Elephas maximus indicus: one gene and its partner. The protein of the gene in region 1 interacts with the protein of each later gene in a pairwise test. Links are inferred from orthologs where the notes say so. Each region holds a gene or a part of one and is shown on either strand. Other genes may lie near its edges.

Region 1 (7,796 bases):
GGAGAATGTTGACACTTTGTGGGGTTGGCAACCAATGTCACAAAACAATATGTATATTAATTGTTTAATGAGAAATTAATTTGCTCTGTAAACCTTCATATAAAGCACATACAAAGACCAGGCTTACTGGTCTGACAACAAAAAAATTATCAAAATGGATGAATAAATGCACAGAACCAAATGTCTCAGAAGGTGGTTGAACAATCTTCTCTTTAGACCTGTGGACAAAAAACAAAGACAGTCCAAAGATGACCATTTCTCTTAAGGTTAATGATTGATCAAAAGCTAACACAGCCCAAATTCAATAAAGCTCAGGGGGCCCTCTGACCCGGAGTAGCACAGACTCTGATAACTTCCTATGCACAAAGTCATATTTCAATGGAAGGACATCCAAAGTCATAATGCCATTGCCTGTTTTGGCACATGCTCTCACAAGTTCCAGAATAGAAGACTGGAGCATTATATTGTGGGGAACAATTAAAGACTCCATGGCAAGGATGGCCTTTGGAAAATTAGGAAATTTTAAATGTATCAAAACCTCGTACCAGGCACTTTGCTAAGTGCTTTGCAAACACTAATTTAGTGACCTCATGAAGGAGACGCTATTATCATCCCCATCGGTTTGGTTCACAGAAGAAAGTAAAGCACACACAGGTTAATTCTTTCAGGCCTAGCAGTATATACAGCAACCATGAACTTTTTCAGCCCCTGGGATTTACTGGGAAGCTGCTGTATCATTGACAGTGTGTGCTGCTGCAAGGCAGGGACCTTTATGACTGTTTGAAACCAAACAAATGGGTGTGTGCTGCAAATTACTGTTTTTACAGGGTATTGTAGAAGGTGCCTGAATTTTTGATAGGAAAAATAGAAATTTTGAAAGTTTTTATTTGTTACATATATGTACCCATAGGTCTGGGTGGGGACTCTGGGGTATAACTAGTGGGACTTCATACGTACCACTGAACACTTAGGGTAGACTTGTGGGAGGGGACAAGAAAAAAAATCCATACTACCTACAAAAATTCAGATACAGTCAATGATTCAGAATGCTTCCATTAATAAAAACACATGGTATCAACAAAAAAATCCAAGCAGAAAATAATTGGGTCACCAAAGGGTTAAACAACTTGCCCAACCTCAGAGAGCTAGTTCATGTTAGAGCTGACATTCAAACCAGGCAGCCTGCTTCCACAGTCCATGTACTTTCCCATGTGGACTCTGGCATTTTTCTCTGGAACATTTTCATACTTTCCTTTCCGAGGGCCCTTATAATAATAAAGACAGATTTTTCAGTCGAAAAATGTTTGTTTAAACTGTTGCCAATTTCAGAATTGGTGAGGGTGATACTAGCTGCAATAACAGTGGCAGCACAGTAGAAGATACTGTCTTGATAACATAAAGCCCAATTGGCAATAGTGGCAATGATTGGTTGAGGTGGGAGACAGGCTCCCCTCCACATCTCAACTCAGTCATTGAGGGATTCAGGCTGAGGGAGACTCTGCCATTTCCAACATGTGGCCTGCTTCCCTGAAAGCAAGCAGTGCCAGGGAGATGAGGGGAAAGTTAACCCTCAAGCCCCAGCTTCTGAGACAGTTGCTTGAGGGCGCATCATAACCAATCCCCATTCTCACAAAAATCTTCATAGTGCATCCAAACGAAACCCAACTCGCTGCCATGGAGTCGATTCTGACAAACAATGACCCTATAGGACAGAGCAGAAGTGCTCCCACAGGGCTTCCAAGGCTGTTAATCTTCACAGAAGCAGACCTGCCACATTTTCCTCTCTCGGGGAGGTTGGTGGGCTCGAACTGCAGACCTTTTGGTTAGCAGCCAAGCACTTTAACCACTGTGTTACTTGGGCTCCTCATGGAGCACAAACCCATATAAATACTTTCATCCTCCCTGAAAGAATGGCTGTTTAAGTAAGCTTTAATGTGCCTCAGAATCACCTGATGGGCTTGTTAAAACAGACTGATGGGTCCCACCCCCCGAGTTCCTGACACAGTAGTTCTAGTGTAAGGCCTAACAATTTGCATTTCTAACAAGTTACTACATGATGATGAAGTTGCTGGTCCAGACCACATTTTGAGAACCACCACTCTTATCTATTGCCCAAGATTAGGGGCTTCAGGGACAGATAAAGACCCTCTCTGCCCATTCCTTTAGTAATGCCTTAGTGTTACAGTTAACCGCTCTGCTATGTTGGAAGTAAGAGTCCAGACTGGCATGGCGACATACTTCTGAACATCAGCCATTGAAAATGCTATAGAGCACAGTTCTCTGACATAGTTGGGGTCACCATGAGTCAGAATAAACTCGAGGACAACTGGGTGTTTTTATTTGTTTTTTTTGTAAAGCTAAAAGGCATTTTGTTTTCCTTTTCTTCATTAAAGCCATTGAGCCGTTGTTGTCGAGTCATTTCTGAATCATAGTGACTCTACAGGATAGAGTAGAACTGCCCCATAGAGTTTCTAAGGAGCACCTGCTGGATTCGAACTGCTGACCTTTTGGTTAGCAGCCATCACACTTAACCACCTTGTCACCAGGGTTTCCTCTTCTTCATTAGCAGCATGTTATTAGTGAATCTCCTCTGTGAGGCCTGCACTCAGCCCCATACGCACCAGGAACGGGGGCTCCTGCCCTGCTGGTGACCTTCATGCTGAGTGAGCAGGCAGCATGTAGCCAGAAGCAGTGTGCAGTGTCCAGCCACTCTGCTTGTTCTCCAGCCTACTTCCTGGCTGTGCGGCCCTAGGCTAGCCACACAGTCTCTGAGCCTCAATTTCCCCATCTACATAACACGGGACAATAATACCCACATACTTAAACTATGGCGAGCTTACTGCTGCTAACCAAAAGGTTGGCAGTTTGAATCTACCAGCCACTCCTTGGAAACCTTATGGAGCAGTTCTGGTCTGTCTCATAGGGTCACTATGAGTCAATGGCAGCTAGTTTGGTTTTCTGGAGTCTAACCTTGGAAACTCTATGGGGCAGTTCTACTCTGTCCCATAGGGTCGCTATGAGTCGGAATCAACTCAATGGCACTGGGTTGGGTATAGGACGAAGGAGCTCTTAACCCCTGCGCCACCAGAGCTCAGCCACTAACCCAAAAATAGGCAGTTTGAACCCATCAGCCACTCTGCAGGATAAAGATGACAGTCTGTTTCTTAAAGATTACAGCCTTGGAAATCCTATGGTACAGTTCTACTCTGCCTATAGGTTGTGTGATTTGGAATTGACTCCACAGCAGTGAGTTCGGACTATAGGATGCCTGAGAAGAGGAAATGAGGATAGTGCAAGTAGGAGAGGAGTCCTCTGTCAAGTGTAAAGTACTTGCCACATATTAATTATCATGACAGCTTCATGACAGGTTTGCACTGGAACAATTAGCAGTGGCTTCTGTTTTTCCTCCAGCTTTAGTAATATTTGTTTTGCTTTTTAGTAATTTTTGTTTTTAAGGCTTTGGTCACCCTCTCCCCAACAATGGTCTTTGAGGCCCAATGCTACTGGTCCTGACTCACCTTCTGCTGGTATATTCATACACTTAGACCCAAGCTCCTCATTGCCATCTTTAGGCTCTAAAAAGAAAAATATAACCAAGGTAGATGAAATGAAACTCTCACATTACTTTATTCTAAGTCAAGATCTTCTCAGTCTCAACAATCAAGGATAAAATAAAAAGAACGAACTAAGTAGTTTATCACTGATTTTCAACCAGCTAAGATTCTCCAAAAGCCTTGTGGCTCAGTGGTTAAAGCACTGTACTGCTAACCGAAAGGACAGCAGTTCAAACCCACCAGCAACTCCCCTGGAGGAAAGACTTACAATTTGCTCCCATAAAGATTGCAGCCAAAGAAACCCTATGGGGCAGTTCTATTCTGTCCAACAGGGTCACCATGGGTCAGAAACGACTCAACAGCAGTGGGTTTGGTTTTGGTTTTGAGATAAAGCAGGCCCATTTTAATCCCGTCCGTACTGTTTGCCATTTGAACGTTAGTTTTCATCCCCAAAACTCAGGCAAGTGCAGAGAACGAAAGTGAGATGCCCTTCGAAGGGGAGCAGGGACCACTGAAAATCTTTGCAAAGAGCCCTCTGCGTTAGCTGTGCGACCCAAGTCATCCTGACATCTTTCCTCCCTTCAGAGCCCCAGGCTGTGATAGGCGGTGATTTACATTCCTGCTCTTTTGGAGGGAAAAGACCTGGAGTCACAAAGACGGGGATTCAGTCTTTATCTTACCACTTAATACGCTACCTAGGATACACCACTTCTTTAAGACTCAGTTCTTCCATCTGTATGATGGACATACCACTATCTGCCTCACAGAGCTGTTCTGGATGATAATGTATCGTTTCTAGAGCACTGCCAGGCACAAGGTGCTCCTCGTCGCCATCCAGGGAATTCCGGCTCATGGAGACAGGGGAAAGCCTCCTTCCCTCGGGTTTTACTTTCACCACTAAAGGAACACTACTGGCCTGGAGCCCCGCGCCCTGGATCGTCAGGGGTCCGCTAGCTCCCAGGGGAGCCCAGGCCAGCCCTGAAAGTCCCAAACCCCTGGGGATCCGCCCCAATCTCTTAAAGAACTCCCCATCCCACGGCTCGAGGGCCAAACAGCCGGCCCAGCCCACCTAGGCGTTTGCATCGCCCGCCCCTCTGCGTGATGAGGCGGCATCACTTCCGCCGGAAGAGGCGAGGGGCCCGCGCCGTTGGCGCGAAAGTCGGTTCCCGTCCTCGGCCACTTCCGGGTTGTCCTGCGATTCCCCCGGGCTGGGGGCGCCGCCGGCTGGGGCGGGTCTGCGCCGGGCTGGCGCCCGACCCCCGCCGTCGTCCTGCCGGCCGCGCGCCCCCCAACTCGCCAGCCGGAGGCTCCCGGGCTCCACCAAGGTGAGTGAGTCGCGGGATGAAGACCCGGTTCTTTCTCCGCCCCAACTAGGGGCCGCAGCGCCGCCGCTGGCCTGCCTTCCGGGCCCTGGCTTCCCGCCCTTCCAACCGGCCCTCCGACCGGCGGGCGGGCCTCTGCGGCCGGAGGGGACGAGCCTGTGCGGCCGGACCCACGGCCGGGCCTGTCCCTGGGGACCGGGAGGCGGGGAGAGGCGGCCCTCTGCTCTGCGGCCGGACCCACGGCCGGGCCTGTCGTTGGGGACCGGGAGGCGGGGAGAGGCGGCCCTCTGCTCTGCGGCCGGACCCACGGCCGGGCCTGTCGTTGGGGACCGGGAGGCGGGGAGAGGCGGCCCTCTGCTCTGCGGCCGGACCCACGGCCGGGCCTGTCGTTGGGGACCGGGAGGCGGGGAGAGGCGGCCCTCTGCTCTGCGGCCGGACCCACGGCCGGGCCTGTTGTTGGGGACCGGGAGGCGGGGAGAGGCGGCCCTCTGCTTTGCGGCCGAACCCACGGCCGGGCCTGTCGTTGGGGACCGGGAGGCGGGGAGAGGCGGCCCTTTGCGGGGCACGACCTCGCTAGCTGGCTTCCGTGTTTACGTTTAAAATCCGTTTGCTGAGAGGTGGACAGTCCTCGAGGGCCGTGGATTCCGCAGGCACAGAAGTGCTTATCCTTAGGCACCGGGCAATTGAACGTCCATTTGCCGATGTGACTTACCGTAAAGCCCCCGGTGCAGGGGCCCTCATGGCCTTCAATTTAGGGACATTAGCTTCCGTCTCTGATTTGTACGGTTTGATGTTGTCATCCTTGTCTTGGATTTTGCTGACATTCTAGCATTTCTTACAAACGTGCAGGACGAGTTCATGTTAAGGTCAGAATGCCTATCCTTAGACATTCTTGCCTGCACAGAAAAATGGGTGCTTTAAAATTTTAACTAAATATATGTGGTATGTTTTTTTCTCGTTAATGATCCTTTTATTTTGACAGTTCAGACATGTCCGGAAATGACAAAGAACCGTTCTTTGTGAAGTTTTTAAAGTCTCCAGACAATTCTGAATGTTTTTTCAAAGCCCTGGAGGTAAGAATAGTTGAAAATGTGGTTTGATGCTGTAAGTTCGTTTTCTTCTTTTTAGTGTTTTTTAAAATTAGGCTTTTTATGTCTTAGCCATAGATACTTTATCTTCATAATGGTTTTACATTAATATAGATATAGCATCATTACATGTTTTTGAATTGTTTTAAGTATGTATGTTATTATTGTGTATTTGGGGTCTTTGAAACACATAACATTTCTGTTGGATGTGGCTGACCTGCAGTTCTTGGAAATTAAGTTGCTTTCTTTTGTTTACTAACCACAGTGGTTCTTTGTGTGTGAATAAATTTGAGTCATTTGTGTACTGATCACACATCAGCACTTGTTTGGTTAAGTGTTAAAAGTATGTTTCATTATGTGCGGTATAATATGGAGGGTCCAGGTACAGTGGTTAAGAGTTCGGCTCCTAACCAGAAGGTTGGCAGTTCACATCTACCAGCTACTCCTTGAAAACCCTATGGGACAGTTGTGCTGTGTCCTGTAGGGTTATTATGAGTCAGAATTGACAGCAATGGGTTTGGGTTTTGTTTTGTTTTTTTTTTTAAGAGGTGGTGTAGAGCCTTGCTACTCACAGACCTCAACAACATCAGTATGGCTTGGGAGTTTGTTAGAAAATGTATATTCTCAGGGCCTGTCTTAAAGTTACCAATTAGGATCTGCATTTTAACAAGATCCCCAGTGTGATTCTTGTGCACATTAAAATTTCAGGAGTATTGTAGCAGGTTTTTCCTTAAAGTTCATTCATCAAATATTTATTGAGTGCTCATGATCTGATTGGAAACCCTGGTGGCGTAGTGGTTCAGTGCTACAGCTGCTAACCAAAGGGTCGGCAGTTCGAATCTGCCAGGCGCTCCTTGGAAACTCTGTGGGGCAGTTCTACTCTGTCCTATAGGGTCGCTATGAGTCGGAATCGACTTGACGGCACTGGGTTTTTTTTTTGGTTCATGATCTGATAGGTACTTGGGATACATGTATCAGTTACCTGAGCAGACAAAGAGCCCTGCTTTTTCAGAGCTTACGTTCTAGCAGGGGGAAATAGACTTTAATCAGTAAACTCATATGAATAAACTATATAGTGTGCTATAAGGTTCTCAGTGATATGGGAAGAGAAAAAAGCACAGCATGTTAAGGGGTTCTGGAGGATGTTGCCAGGAGGAAGGGGAGGTTACAGTTTTAAATAGAGTAAGATCAGGGTAGGCTTTGTGGAGAAGATGATATTTGAGTAAACTTGAAGGAGGTGATATTTGAGTAAACTTGAAGGAGCCACTGGGCTCTCTGGGGAAGAAGGTTCCAGGCAGATGGAATAACCAGTTCACAGGCCCATGGGAAAGTCCGTGGATTGTCTGTCCAAGGACTAGCGAGAAAGTTAGTGTAGAGTGTACAAGGAGTGTGGGAGAGTATGAAAGGATACTTCAGAAAGTAAGGGTGAAGAAATCATTTAGGGTCTTATGGGTTATTGTAAGGACTTTGGTTTTTGCCTCTAAGTGAAGTACAGAGCCAGTGGTGGGTTTTAATAAAGGAGTTTTTGATCTGACATTGCTTTAAAAGGATCACTTTAAGGACATACAAAAAAATCAAACCCATTGCTGTTGAGTCTATTCCGACTCATAGTGACCCTATAGGACAGAGTAGAACTGCCCCATAGGATTTCCAGGGAGTGGCTGGTGGATTCCAACCGCTGGCCTTTTGGTTAGCAGCCAGGGTTGTAACTGCTGTGCTGCCAGGGCTCCTTAAGGACATAGAGACTTCAAAATTCAGGACATAGACATTTCAGAATTTGTTCATGAAATATTTGAGTATTTACTAGGTTCCAGGATAAAGTGGCAAACAAG
Region 2 (7,872 bases), on another chromosome or scaffold:
TTGAAAAAGAACTATGTCTGGAACTCAGTAAATATATGATGAATGAATAAATATTAGCATTTTAAAAATATAATTACCTGACTGGTTAAAATGATTACCCATGTTTTTATGCAAATAACGCGTTCCTTCTACGTTTGTTTGCCAACTGATCTCTCTTCCCTGAGGTATTTTCATAAATAGGCTGTGCTAATTCTTTTTACATCAACATGTAAAAATTGGCATAGCTGCACTTACGAAAGTACCTCACAGAGGGAGGGAGCAGTTGGCAAAAAAATGTAGGAGGCATGCTTTATTTGCAGAAAAATACAGTATACATAATTATTTTATTAACAAAGTAAAATGCAGATGCTCGCTACATCTACTTCCTTAAAAAAATTGGTGGACATAAAAATAAACCTTTTTTATGAAAAAAGTTATCGTATGGAAATATACTAAGCCTTCAACTTTAAAAAAAAAAAAACTAGAAACAAAGAAAAATCCATGTAATGGATGGAATTAATAAAGATAAAAGTAAAACTGCTTACTGTAAACAAAAAAAAATAAGTAAACCAAAGTTCGTTCTTGAAAAGTTGAATAAAATAGAAAGTCCAACTAAGAAAAGGAATAGATATTATTAAAATGAAAAAGGAAATTTAAAACTACAAATAAGAAAGAAAAAGACTGACTGGAATACCGAATGCAAGTTGTATTGATAAATTTTTAAATCTAAACAACTGGTTTGCTAAAAAATATATATTTCCAAAATGAACTCAAGGTGGAAAAAAATTAACAGAACTTTAACCATATTTGAAATTCAAATATTTGCTGAAGATATACCACTAAATAAGGTACCAAGCTTGATGATTTTATCGGCCAGCTGCATATAGCCAAGTACCAGATGACTCCTGTGTAATCTGATTATCCCATAACAGAAAAAAGATTGAAATGCTTCACATTCATTTTTCAAAAGTAACATATAACCCACATTCCAAAATAGACAATACAAAAAAATTTATTGAAAACTCTCACTTATGAACATTCTTACAAAATTCTTAATAAAATATCAGCAAATCAACACCTGTGGCACACCATATATAGGGTTTGTTAATACTTCCTTGTTGAGCTTGGGCAAATCACTTCTCTCTGTCTCAGTTTTTCCATCTGTAAAATGGAGATCATAATAGTACCTATTGCATGAAGTTGTTAAGAAGATTAAATGGGTAAGTATAAAGTCCTTAGACTAGTGCTTGGCATTTGGCAAATGTTCAGTGTTAGCTATTATTATTATCCCAAGAACAAACAGACAAAAAAAAACACCCAACATAATCCATTCCATTAATATTTTATAGAGAAAAAGAAGATTTTTGATAAAAATTTGATAAATTTTTAGCAGACATTTTTGACAAATATTTAAATAGAGCAGGCCTAGAAGGCAGTCTTTTAAACATAATAAAGAATATTTATCACAAGCCATTAGCACAAATTATATTAAATGTTAAAATACTGAAGATATCCCTATTAAATTAAGCAATAATACAAACATGCTCAATATCACCATGATTAGATACTAGACATTATACTATTGCAATAAATACAACCAAAACCAAACCCAGCGCCATCGAGTTGATTCCGACTCATAAATACAACAGATATGAAACAGGGGATGAAACTATTATTTGCAGATAATATATAGTTTTTATAGTTAGAACTCTGAGAGTAAGCGAAGCTCTATTACAATTAGTGAGAGTTCAGTTGATAAACCGGAGAACCAAAAAAAAAAAACCAAATCCACTGCCGCCGCCGAGTCAATTCTGACTCATAGCGACCCAGTAGAACTGCCCCCCCCACCACAGGCTTTCCAAGGAGCATCTGGGGGATTCGAACTTGCAACCTTTCGGTTAGCAGCCGAAGCTCTTAACTACTACACCAGGGTTTCCAGGCTGGATAAAAGACAGATCAAAATCAGCATCTTTTTTTAGAGTAGCAATTAACAACTTAAAATTTTTTAAGAGAAAAAGAGAACCCATTTAGAGTAATAAAAATTATATAACATCCAGAAATAAACTTAATGAGATGGTACAAGACTATATGATAAACTACATAAAATTTCACTGAACATAAAATACAGCCTGAATACTCTCTATTAATTGCCTAGGCACTGCCTCCATCTTCTCTGTCGCCCAATCTAGAAATGTGGAAACTCCTCTAGACACTCCCACTCCTCACTCTTCATATCCACTATCAGTCACTAAATCCTGCCTATTTTGCCTCATACGTATTTCTTAAAATTGCCACTATCTACACTTCCACTACACTGGTTATCCTTTGGACAGGCTCCAGTAAGTTTGTCTCCCTACTTCTAGACTTCTTGTTAGCTGCCGTGGAGTCACTCCCTCACCCTCCTCAAAATCATAGCCATTCAGCTGTCGGAGTCCTCAATCTAAAACAGAAACTTGACTAGGTCATACCCAAGTGTAAAACCAGAGATTGCCCCTGAATTCAGAATGGAGTCCAAGATCAAAGCCAATAAAGCCTTCAGTCATCTGGACCCAGTCTCCTCTCCCCCTCCCCCACTACTTTGGGCTTAAACGTATGGCTCTAATGTTTCTCAAGTGAGGATACGCCAGTGTCTCTGACTAAAGACATCAAGGTTCCTCAAAATTACATAGTATGTCCCACTAAACTTACAGCGTCAATTTTTGATGAGTATTGTCTGAGGAAGACATTATTTTATATATAACATGATTTTACGGAAAAGAATGTGAAATTTGCATTACTGCTTAAGTTAAAATGCAAGATTTCAAAGAAAGATGCCACCTACGGCAGGAAGAGTAGACTCCTTCCTCTGCCCCAGGATGGGGGTGATGATGGCACACTTACCATTCGTTGCAAGGTGAAAAGTCTAACAGTATCAAACTCTTATCACTGTATTTGCCAACAAATGACAATGACACCCAATGCTTATCAAGAACTTGGTTATGCCACACACTGTTCTAAACTCTTTACGTCGACCGACTCATTTTGTAAGGTCTTTAAGACCTTACACGACTTTATTTCCAACTGTTCTCATCCTTGCTTTCTCCACTTCAGCTATGGTAGTCGCCTTGCTCTTCCTGGCACACATTGCCATGGTCCTACTTCAAGGCCTTTGGTCTTATTATTCCCTGTATCTGGAAGCCTTTTCCTCTAGACAGCATGGCTCTCTCTCAACTCCTTGCAGTATTTTTTCAAATATTGCTTTCTCAAGCAGCCCTTTCCTGACTACTCTACTGAAAATTACAGGTATAACCACCTTCTTCTCAAACGCCATTATTCCACAGTATTAACTCTGCTGTGTTTTTTCCCCGTATCATTTTTTTTAATGGTGTATATTTTTTTCTCTCCCTACCAGAATGTAAGTTCCACGGCAGTGGGGTTTTTGTTTTACTCACTAAATCCCGAGGGCCAGAATACTGCCTGGCACACTGCAGGCTCCCAATGAATGTTTATCTAATGAACAAATCTAGTTAACAGTTACTTTTATTAGCCAGATTTTACCTTATTACTACACTGAAGCACAATGAGAACTTGCCTATGGTCACACGGTAAAAAGATGGAGCTAGGATTTGTAGACAGACAGCCTGGCTCCACTCTTTACATCACTACCTGGTGTCTGTCTTTTGTATACGAAATTCCATATGCACTACTTCATATGTTTCCCTTACCAGGCAGTTACTTCCCAGCAGGGGAGGCATCATTATCTTTGTGCTGTTACTGACAATTGTATGTGTTATACGCTCAACAACTGTTTACTGAATGAATGCATGAATGAATACATTCCCTACGTAATGATCCTTACATGTTTGTCTCAATCATTTTAAGCTTTCAGATATAATAGTGAAATCGACATTTTTAATATAAAAATAAACCTGGCCTTAAAAATGTAATGATGTAAAAAAAATACATCTTTGACTCGACAAAACATGATTTCTGATGAATTATTTCATTAGAGATGTACCCTAGTCTTAAAATTTTCCAGACTGGTTTTTAAAGCTTTATTAGGTATTTTTTTTTTTAGCATAAATTAAGGAAGCTGCAGAACCAGCTACTTGACTCACCTCGTGATATACACATGCATAATACTAATTAGACAGTACTCATTACCTCTGATTTAAAAAGAAAAAGAAAAAGCAGAGAACGTAGGCGGCGAGGTTGACATCACAACCATGCCACACGGAAAGACAGCTCCCCTTACGGAAAGTGACGCTAAGGAAGCCACCCACCGCCATCACCGGGCCCAGGAGTTGCCCGGCGGTGGTTTTCTCGAATAAGCCTGACAAAGGCCAGCTAAGGACCTGACAGCCGTCACGAAATTCCAATGGTTTAGGGTCGACGAGGTAAAGATTTAAAGCGAGGTCCCCTCCCCGGCTGTCTCAAAACTCTAGGGCCCAAAGAGTCTCTGCTCAGAGCTCCTCACCGTGTCTAGACTATTTCTCAGGTAAAGGATGATGCGCAAAGGAAAAGCCAGCCATCCAGCGTGAGGGCCCAGGAAGCAAACGAAAGCAAAGCTTACAAAACAACAACGCAGCCGCGGCGCTTCACCGCCCCTCTGTGGGTTGGAAGAAACAGTCGCGCTTCTCGCGAGATAGCTCGTTCTCAAGGGTCTCGGAGATGAAACCTCGCGAGCTCAGAGGAAAGGGAGGGGTTGGAAGGAGCGCCACAACCCACAGACCCAGCCTGTGCCTCATTGAGAGGCCGTCCCCCAGAGCCCCAAACACTTCCGGAACCCGACCGGAACCGGAAGTTGCTGGGCGCGAGGGGGTGCGGCCGAAAATCAAAAAAAGCGCGGCCGGAGCTGGAGGTCCTGAGAGGGCTGGGTGGCGGCGGTCCCCGGCGAGGCTGGGCCGGTCGGGATGGACTCCACTGCCAGCCTGAAGTCCTTGCTGCTGACCATTAGTCAGTACAAAGCCGTCAAGTCGGAGGCGAACGCCACCCAGCTTCTGCGGCACCTGGAGGTGCGGGGTCCTGGGGTGGGGACGAGATGGGGCTTTCCTCCAGTGACCCCTGGTCCGCTGCCCGGTGTGGCGGCCCGAGCTGGAACGACAGCCCCCGCTCCGGCGGCTGTTGTCGCTGTTCGCGCTCGCTGTTCCCGCTGAGGGCGAACGTGTGTCAGCCGTGACCGCTCCGGCGGCTGTTGTCGCTGTTCCCGCTGAGGGCGAACGTGTGTCAGCCGTGACCGCCGCGGCGGCTGTTGTCGCTGTTCGCGCTCGCTGTTCCCGCTGAGGGCGAACGTGTGTCAGCCGTGACCGCCGCGGCGGCTGTTGTCGCTGTTCCCGCTGAGGGCGAACGTGTGTCAGCCGTGACCGCTCCGGCGGCTGTTGTCGCTGAGGGCGAACGTGTGTCAGCCGTGACCGCTCCGGCGGCTGTTCTCGTCCCGCTGAGGGCGAACGTGTGTCAGCCGTGACCGCTCCGGCGGCTGTTGTCGCTGTTCGCGCTCGCTGTTCCCGCTGAGGGCGAACGTGTGTCAGCCGTGACCGCCGCGGCGGCTGTTGTCGCTGTTCCCGCTGAGGGCGAACGTGTGTCAGCCGTGACCGCTCCGGCGGCTGTTGTCGCTGTTCCCGCTGAGGGCGAACGTGTGTCAGCCGTGACCGCTCCGGCGGCTGTTGTCGCTGTTCCCGCTGAGGGCGAACGTGTGTCAGCCGTGACCGCTCCGGCGGCTGTTCTCGTCCCGCTGAGGGCGAACGTGTGTCAGCCGTGACCGCTCCGGCGGCTGTTGTCGCTGAGGGCGAACGTGTGTCAGCCGTGACCGCCGCGGCGGCTGTTGTCGCCGTTCCCGCTGAGGGCGAACGTGTGTCAGCTGTGACCGCTCCGGCGGCTGTTGTCGCCGTTCCCGCTGAGGGCGAACGTGTGTCAGCCGTGACTCCCCACCGTCCGCGCCCGCCCCAGCCCGGGCACCGGCAACAGGGAGGCTGGCACCAAGGGCCGGGTGTTTGGCACGTTTCGGAGAGAGCTAGGAGCTGTGTCTTCTCTTCTTTTGCTTCTTGTTTCGTTGTTTGCATCGAAATTAGGCCCTCACAGAATATTCAGGATTCTAGGGGGCGGCGGAGGTGGGGGGGGATTAAAACTTGATTTTGCCCTTAGCCACTTTACAATCTGAACCTGTTGCTTACTGCTTTTGTTTGAACTCGTGTTGAGCTCGAACTTGCAAATTATTATTTCAACTTTCTTTGAATTAAGGAGCAATCCTCTTCCCCGAAACTAGTGATCATAATCTTTTTTCTTTACCAAAATATATCGCTCAGAGTTTTGAAATCCTTAAATGCTGAATTGCTTTCACTTTTTCGATTAGTTCCTGTGATTTGTGCTTAGACTACTTATTCTATTATGACGTTCCTTTGGAAAAATTGTAATCACGATTTTGTTTCTGTGATCCTGTTTGTTTTTAGATTCTCAATCTTCTGCTGTCATTTGTGTCACATTCATGGAATTCAAACTAACATGTAACCTCAGCCTCATGAAAAGCAATTAAGCTGAATCAAAGCTTGTTTTGAGAATTCTTTGTCGCAGCTTCCTTTTCTTAGCATTAGATTGAACATAATTTTAAAATCTATTTGACATACTAACCCTGTGATTGCAAATGGTACAGCAACAGTTTTTTGTTTTTCTTTATAAAAGTGGAGTATATTAAATGTGTGTTTCTTCTCTTGGGCTTTGGTGGTATTGCTCTTCATAGTAGTACAGCTGCCTATCCCCTACGCAGATTTGCCTTCTTTTTCTCATTCGTTGGCTCCACAAATCACTGCATCCTAATAACATGTTAACTGTTAGGTGGGTCAGGCTTTGCGTCTCAAGAACAGAGCAGTGCACTGGTGGATTCCAGAAGCCACAGGATGGAAAAGTAGGGCCATCAATTTTATTTAAGAATTCAGGGTTAAGTATTTTACATGGTAATCTAAAACATTACTTCTCTTTGAGAATGAACAGGTTATCATGAATTAAAGGAAACATCAAAGAAATTTGTGGATTAGAGGCTGGCTCTTTGATACCCTCCCAAACTTTGAGGCAGTTTAGAGAAAATTCTACCATTGGGGCATTTTGATGCAAAGCCGAGAAGAGCACAAGCTATAATTATCAGGGACTTATTGTTATTTGGGGAACACTGGTGGTTTAGTGGTTAAGAGCTGTGGCTGTTCAAATCTACCAGGTGCTCCTTGGAAACCAGGTGGGGAAGTTCTTACTCTGTCCTGTAGGGTCACTGTGAGTTGGAATCAACTCAATGGCAACGGGTTTGGTGTTTTTTTAGCAATAACATACCTACAGTAAAGTGCTTGAGGTGTGTTAATCTTAATTGAAGAGCTTGATGTTTTTTTTAACATTTCATATGCACTTCGTATCTAGCACCTGTATCAGGATCTAGGAAGTTTCCATCACTCCATAAGGTTTCTTCATTGTTCCTTTCTACAAGATTCATATAAGTCAACAAATATAATATGTACTCTTTTGTGTCTGGTTGCTTTCATTCAGTAGAACTAACATTTATTCATGTTTCACTTGTACCAGGACTTCACTGTTTATTGCTGCATAGAATTCCGTTATGTAAACACCCCGCAGTTAGGTACATTCCCCTGTTGATGTGCATTGGCGTGTGTCCGTTTTGGGGTGGAATTATCAGTGAAGCTGTTGTGAATATTTTCATGCATGTCTTTGAGTATATGCTCTCACTTCTCTTATATACCTAGTAGTGAAATTATGAGTCAGAATTTCTAACTCCACAGCAGTGGGTTTGGGTTTTGTTTGTTTGTTTGGTAGGGCTGTAGGGAAGGAACCCTGGTAGCTCGGTGTTTAAGTGCTGGGCTGCTAACTGAAAGGTCAACGGTTAGAACGCACCAGCTTTTTCTGCAGGAGAAAGATGTA

The links.
Region 2: the proteins of TOPBP1 (region 1) and CIP2A interact in a two-hybrid assay, tested with the Homo sapiens proteins (2 studies listed by BioGRID). The link is inferred for Elephas maximus indicus from reciprocal best matches to the Homo sapiens genes TOPBP1 and CIP2A.

Annotation. Positions count from the first base shown.
Region 1 is NC_064844.1:46,133,205-46,141,000, forward strand, and holds the start of TOPBP1 (DNA topoisomerase 2-binding protein 1), read left to right. Parts: upstream 1-4,696; 5' UTR 4,697-4,879; intron 4,880-4,942; exon of another isoform or gene 4,943-5,742; intron 5,743-5,858; exon of another isoform or gene 5,859-5,863; 5' UTR 5,864-5,865; coding exon 5,866-5,949; intron 5,950-7,796. UniProt on the Homo sapiens protein: Scaffold protein that acts as a key protein-protein adapter in DNA replication and DNA repair. Composed of multiple BRCT domains, which specifically recognize and bind phosphorylated proteins, bringing proteins together into functional combinations.
Region 2 is NC_064836.1:80,958,541-80,966,412, reverse strand, and holds the start of CIP2A (protein CIP2A), read left to right. Parts: upstream 1-4,776; 5' UTR 4,777-4,871; coding exon 4,872-4,973; intron 4,974-7,872.